2 linked regions of the Tribolium castaneum genome follow. The protein of the gene in region 2 interacts with the protein of the main gene of each other region in a pairwise test. Links are inferred from orthologs where the notes say so. Each region holds a gene or a part of one and is shown on either strand. Other genes may lie near its edges. The genes, in order: CtBP and exd.

Evidence for each region.
Region 1: the proteins of exd (region 2) and CtBP interact in a two-hybrid assay, tested with the Drosophila melanogaster proteins (2 studies listed by BioGRID, with this or other methods). The link is inferred for Tribolium castaneum from reciprocal best matches to the Drosophila melanogaster genes exd and CtBP.

What each region holds. Positions count from the first base shown.
Region 1 is NC_087395.1:17,862,221-17,866,047, reverse strand, and holds part of CtBP (C-terminal-binding protein), read right to left. Parts: intron 2,524-3,827; 5' UTR 2,310-2,523; coding exon 1,635-2,309; intron 1,586-1,634; coding exon 1,159-1,585; intron 1-1,158. UniProt on the Drosophila melanogaster protein: Corepressor targeting diverse transcription regulators. Hairy-interacting protein required for embryonic segmentation and hairy-mediated transcriptional repression.
Region 2 is NC_087400.1:5,271,087-5,274,597, forward strand, and holds exd (extradenticle), read right to left. Parts: upstream 2,025-3,511; 5' UTR 2,021-2,024; coding exon 935-2,020; 3' UTR 617-934; downstream 1-616. Other genes in the region: pre-mRNA-processing factor 17, read right to left, coding at 3,156-3,333, 3,385-3,511. UniProt on the Drosophila melanogaster protein: Transcription factor which acts with the selector homeodomain proteins altering the regulation of downstream target genes such as wingless (wg), teashirt (tsh) and decapentaplegic (dpp), thus affecting segmental identity.

The sequences.
Region 1 (3,827 bases), on a different chromosome or scaffold from region 2:
GCATAAAATCGTGCAAACGGCACTACTTACAAAAGTTACAGGATATTGGAATTTTATTTTTAAAGTCCAAATTATTTATAAAACAACCATACACCATTGAAAAATAATTTTAATTTTTTCACCTGTATACCTGTAACGATTGGGTTAATTTTACTGGATCTACTTCCAACAAAAAAACCACTCATAAATGTTAGGTAAAATTGTGCCAATGGTTATTAAATATTAATTTTTGTTTTAAACTAGTCCTGAATATTTAGCACTTTCGACTTTTTCACTGTCAGGTACCGATTATATTGTAGCATGACAAAAGAGAGAAGCACATCCCCACAGGCAGACCAGTGATTTGGTCCATAATACAGAAAAATCGTTTAATTTTAAGCCTGACTGAAGATTAATTTTTGTGTTGCTTTTATCATGTAAGCTGCAACTTTCCGTCAATTCCAGCAAAACTTTTCTTGAACACAGGTAATAAATGTTAAATTAGTTATATTAACAATAATATTAACATATTAACAATAATGTACAACTTGACCACATTTTAATTTACAATTAAATAAATAGAATTGTTCCCTGACAGTTTTTATAGCAGGAATATACATAATTTTTTGTAAGTTATCAGTTATATTATGTTTCCAGCATTTTTTTATATCAAATGAGCCAACTTTAATAGTGGAAAATTAAAGAAACAAATGCGTTAGTATTTAGTTAGTACGTAGTAAGTCTTTATTATTTTCTGAGATTTTAGCCACAATTCAGCCTTTTAATCAAAGAAATGGTGGAAAAGAATATGTACTTGAAACTACCCGAAATTTCCGAAACAGGTCAATAGAAACAGTTGCAAAAAAACTACCTCCCGCTGAGAATTGTCGGTACAAATGTGTGTTTTTAAACTTTCCCCAAAAAGCAAAATAAACAATTTCTGCTAAAAAGGTGGGGTAAATACTAGTCAAATGTAAAACATGCAATTACAAATTAGAAGTGTAAAAAATATTCATATGGCATATAATCCGCCCTTTAGTTAATACGCTTACCGAACTGATCAAATTATGGCACTTTTTTAAAAGAAAATGAAACATTAATCGACAGTAAATTAACCTAGGAGTCAGACACAACGGGATCACGTCAAATCATTCATCACATTAGTAGTAACAATATTACCTGTACCTTCGGGATATGAGCCCGGGCTCATGAAATATTCCTTATTGACGCAATTTCTTAAACACTCCGGGATCCTGCCCATGATGGCGCGCCTTATTTCCGACGCTGCCATTTCCCTAAGTTCTGTTGCTGAAGCGTCACTATAAAAGGCTGCATGTGGAGTACACAACAGATTCGGGGCGTCTTTCAATGGTCCCGAGAACACATTGTACGGTTCGTTTTCGTGGACGTCCAACGCCGCAGCTCGAATGCGACCCTGTTTTAAGGCTTGAGCTAAGGCATCGTCGTCGACGAGACCACCGCGCGCCGTATTCACCAAAAAGGCCCCCGGTCGCATCTGCTTGATGGTAAACTCGTTGATTAGATGATGGTTGTGTTCGTTTAGGGTGCAGTGCAGGGACACGCAATCCGATTGAAACAAAAGGTCCTGAAAATGAGCCAATGAAATACCGCTGATTTCGATGGTGGGTGCGTACCTGGAGCGTGTAGACCCGCGTCAGTCCTAGACTCTTCTCGATGCCGTCGGGGAGATAGGGATCGTAGAAGATGACGTTGAAGCCGAAGGCTTTGGCGCGAAGTGCCACCGCCGAGCCGATCCTGCCGAGCCCGACGATTCCGAGAGTATCCCCACGTATCCTGGCGCATCCTTGGGCCGCCTCCCGCACTTGTTCTGGACCGGTGAACTTCTTACCCTCCCTCACCATGTTCGCCAACCAATAGGTCCGTCGGTACAAATTCAAAATGAGACACAACGTCGTATCGGCGACTTCCTCGACGCCGTAGCCGGGGACGTTACAGACGGCGATGCCGAGCTCCCCTGCCGCTTTAACGTCGATGTTATCGACGCCACTGCCTATGCGCACGATGATACGCAACGTTTTGAACTTTTCGAGATCTTCCTTAGTTAAAACGATGGTGTGCCACATTAGGGCTCCGACCGCCTCGTTCAACACTTTCTCGTGGATCTCACTGGTGCTCTGCGCGTCACAGAACGCCACCGTGGCCACGTCCTTCAATATCGGCATTTCGATGGAACAGTCTCTTCCGTCCAATAACGCCACTAATGGTCGGGTCTGCATCGGCCCGTTCGAAATTGGACCGCGCAAATTTTCAACTCTAGGCCTTTTTGCCATCATTTTTCGTTTGTCCATTTGACACACAACACTAACCGCGACACCAGAGCCGCATTCACGGCACGACACTGATCACAACACGACGACGACGACGACAGTTCACCCCCTTCACACTGGTGATGATGATGCAGCCGTCCACCGTCTTACTCGCAAAACGCCGGACCGCGACACCAACCTCTTAGGTTATGCTTCGCGACTGAATATGTGATCCATTGCGATGCATGAAGACCACCTAAAAACAAATTCCATTTATAGCGGGCGATCTTGACACTTGCAGATAAATTTAAAAAGTGGAGGGTAAAATATGCGAAATCAACTGAACTTATTACCTTACCCGAATGTTTATAGTTTCTAAGGCCCTTCGTATCCCAGGAACTATAAATACATGTGAATAAGGCAACTAGTCCCCTAGCACTACCTCTTCAAATTTTGGGACAACTATTAAAATCACACTGTAAAATGATGTAAACAGAGACAGTCGAAACGAGGACAGTAAACATGGCAATTGTCCGTCGTATAGAGAGGGTTAGTTTCTCTCGGACAACTATTACTACAGTTAAAACTAATTCCAACTCTCGACTACGAAACTGGCAAAGTTAGTCCTCAACTATTATTGCACGATGTTTGGTTTCGGGAAAGTTTGGGAAATGTGTTTCGGAATATGGTGTGGCGGTGGAACGCCAACGGCCAACTTTAGATATTTTAATAAATTATCATCGCCGCCGCCGCCGTCGTTGCTTCTCCTTCGCACGAAGCCGCGCTATTGCCGCCACCAACCGCTGGACATCTCCCTCCTCGTCCAACTTCCGCTGTTAATCACCGAGAGAAACCTCGCTCCGCCTCGGTACAACCCACCCCTCCACGACGTCGAATTCCGCCACCACCCCCGCTTTTAATCGATGAACTTTGCATGGGACCACTTGTCCTCGCCAAAAAATCGCATTGTAATTGTACAAAGTTCCCCGTCTCATTTATCACCGATCGGTTAAAAAGTCGACGAAAAGTTTGGCCCGCACACACAAGAATCATCTCAATCGACTCGACAAAAGTCCCGTAAAAGTTGCTAAAATCGATCGTCGACGGCAGTTCCCCTGAACTAACTTTTGCTATAAAGTATATAAACTTACACTTTTGTAACAACTTTAGTTCTCGGGCAAACTTTGGCCCGTGTCGGAGCGACTAGTTAAAAAGTTTGCCGAGTTTTCCTTGTCTGACTGCCGGCGGTGGAAAGAAAAAGAGGTGGGGATGGACCTCTTTGTCGCTTATTTCATTTCAAACTTCTTTCGCGCAAACTTTAATCTCTCAGATATAGTTTAATTAACGGAATACCTTTTGTTTTATTCGTCGATAAGACCAAAACGAAACATTTCTCTTTGCACCCGGCGCATCCGCCATTTCTCCGCCGACAGACAAAACGCCATCAATTAATTTCGAAAAAATCGTGTAATCGGGCCAAACGCTTAGTTTATCGAGGATTGATTCAAGCGCCGGGAATTCCTTTCGAAACACTCAATACTGGCGTCCGGACGGACGCAC
Region 2 (3,511 bases):
TAAACACGCAAAGTGGTTATCAAAGCAAAAATAATAAAATTTAAGCCAAAATAAGCGTATATCGACGGGCCCAACTCGGTGTAGTGTTGGTATAACTGGAAGTGTCACAGCGGCAAATTTAATTGTGGGGTCTGAGCAGAAAAATTTAAAGCCCACACAGATAAAAATACCCATATACCAAAAAGAAAAAAGCTCACGATAAGTTGTGATTTATGTAATAAGTGGGTATTACGTTCCCCCTCTGGTCTCTATACAGGGTGTCCCAACTGAAATTGCACCCCTAGAATCTCGGTTTACAGAGGAACTAAATTTTATCCTAGAAAGTTATTTCTGCATACCTCTTAAATCACCAATCACATTTCTTTAATTTGGTCACGTGTCCAGTTAATCACGCATTTAATTGCGAATTAAATTAACGACGCTTCGTCTAAAAAATCTAAAACTTTTATTGACATCTGAGTAATTATTTTATAAATCTATCCACAATGACAGTGATTGTTTTTTTTTAGTGAGTTAATTTTTATGGGGCTTTTATTCACGTGAGTCTCTCTACGCCCTTTATTTCCATGTAGGATTTTCTGTGATTATTTCATGTATGTTGAAAAAATGATCCACGTGTTACTACAGTTATTTATTTAAATAGTAAGCACTGTAATTTCATTTTCGATGGAAAAACCTCGGCGTTAAAGCAAAGTTCTCTCACCCAGCTGCTCCTTATCGATAAAAATAAGTAAATATACAAAAAATACTGAAGAAAAACTCGCCTTAACTCCTAAAACAATCAACCTAAAAATATATTGCAAGTACGTCCTATACTATCAGAAAAGTAAAACTTGAAGCAATTGAACCCAGAAACACACTGTACACGATACAAAATTCGGTATACATGGGTTAGTATACAACTGTATTTCCTTAAAATTAAGCTAGGGTTTGATTAGGGCGACAGTTCCTGTGCGTGCATTGGGTCGTAACCACAGCTACTGGCGTCATAGGCTGAGCTCTGGTCGTAGGCCGACCCCATGGAGTAGCCCATGGAGTCCTGCGGGGGCGCTGGGGACATCATGGGGGTCGGGGTGCCGCTGTAGGGCGACGCCCCTGCCGCCTTCTTCGCCGCGTACAAATTGGCCTCTTCCTGCGCCTTCCCGATGTTCTTCTTGTACCTGATTCGTTTGTTCCCGAACCAGTTCGACACCTGGCTCACTGTGATCCCGCATTTCCTAGCCAACTCTTCCTTCGCCTCCTCACTGGGGTAGGGATTAGACAAATGCGAGTAAAAATACTCGTTTAGAATTTCCGACGCCTGCTTGCTGAAATTCCGGCGTTTCCTTCTGGCGTCCAAAAACCGCGATCTGAGGATCATAACAGCCTCGCAAGTCGACTGTTTCAGCTGCATCTGAATCGAGGAGAATTTCTTGTGTATGATTTGCACCATCCGCTCGATTTCCTTCGGGGTGATTGGGCGAGTCCGGGACTGCTCCCGCAGCAAGTTCATAACGTGTGTGGTGAACTCATTGCACGCCTGTTCGTACTTTTCCAGTTCTTGGTGGTAGATTTGGCGGATTTGGGCGAGTTTGGCCCTGTAGTCGCTGTGCTCGATGGCGTTGTCGGGCTGGCCGGCCTGGGCGGCGGCGGAGCCCGAGGCGGCGGCCCCCGCGCCGCCGCCCTTCTCGGGGCCCGCCACCCCCTCGGCGATCAGCATGTTGTCGAGCCGCATCAGCTGGGGGTCGGGGGGCTCCTCCTCCTGCGTGTTCCGCAGGCTGAGCACCGTCTTCTCCTTGATTTCGCACAGCACGGAGAACAGGGCCGGCTTCATGCGGTGGCAGTTGAGGGTGTGTTTGCGCGCTTGGGCCTCGTCGAGGCTCTGGTCGGTGATGTTCATGATCTGCTGGAGGATCTCACCGATGTCCTGCTTGCGGGGCTCGTTCTCGCCGCCCGCGGGCGCGTCCTGGGCGTTCATGTACGGCTGAGGGGGCATCAGGCCGCCGCCGGTGTGGCCCATCATTCTGCCGGGGTCGTCCATGGGGGCACGCAAACGGCACTAGGAAATGGACGCGCTTGACAGCATACGTAAACAAAGCGGGAGGATGTTTGCGGGATGGGTAGTAGGGGCGCATGCGCGAAAGCAGGAATTTTATGGATTTTGAGGGGCGGGTGGGGGAGATTTATGGCCTTTGGATGATATTCAAATTTTGGCACGGATTGGAAAAAGTGGTTTACTAAAGCGAGAGTTGTTTATACTTGGATTCATTCACAAACTAGGGAGGACCAGAGAACTAATGATAGAAAAAATCGTTGATTCTCTTGAAATCAGCATCTAACAGTCATTCAACAGCAAAAAATCTGAAGTAAATGACCAAAAGTTGTGTCAATTTTGAGAAAAATATAGAAAATAGAAACGTATGCTGTAAAATCATACTCTAATTACGTTATTTCACAATCTACGTTGTCTTTTAGTCATTACCAAAAAACTATGCCACTCCACCATAAAACAAATTTGCAAAATACCAGCAAAGTCCGGACCTGTGTAACTCAAAACTCGTCTAACGGACTTAATTAGTTATAATACTGAACACCCCGTTTCATCATTTTAAATATATATTTAAAAATTAAAGTCCCATTAAAGTATTTAATTCTCCATTTAAATTATCTAGAAAATTTAGAAATCAACATAGGAACGAACGAAAGTAGCAACTTATTGTCTTTTGAAAGTGAATTTAATGTGTGATTGTTGCAAAGACGAAAAAATACAGTTTGAGAAAAAATTAATTAATTAAAAAAATTAATAATTAAAAGGACGATTTAGAGAACAAAGATTTTTTGAAAAAAAAGCAAATGCTGATGTTAGAAAATTTAATTACTATTAAATAAAATACTAATAATCATTCTTTATTTTTTTCCAATTGCAAAAACATCATTTTTTATCTAATTTTTTTCTAATCTTTTAAATGCTTTAACGGCGGAATTAAAATCTCGCTGTCAAAATTAGACGTAGGCATTTAAAAACGCAAAATGAGTGACGTTTCACCGTAGACATAAGTCAGGTGACCGAAATCGCTTACGTTGATTGGTTATAACGATCACGTGACCATAGCGAAAGGACGTATCTTCTAATTAAAATATTTTATTTCGCTTAAAATTTACACCTTCTTGGAAACTTAATCCCAGTATTTGATAAGTCCATCCCAGCCTGCTGTCACTAACTTGCTCGGCTCGTGCGGATGCCACAGCACACTGATACAGACATTATCGTGCGCTTTCCACTTCTTATACAACTTTGTAGTTTTCCAATCCCAGATGTAGCACTTACCATCGGCGTCACCCGACACTAAATAACTACAAAAAAAATTGTTAAAACCTACAACTGTTAAAAAAATAATAACAAACCTCAAATCTGGTGAAAAATCAAGTGTGCAGGCATACCCAGCCACCATATGTCCCGTAAACGTCTTTTTTCGATTTATTTTGAAGCGATTTAATGCCGAGAAAATGACAATTTTGTTGTCCATGCTTT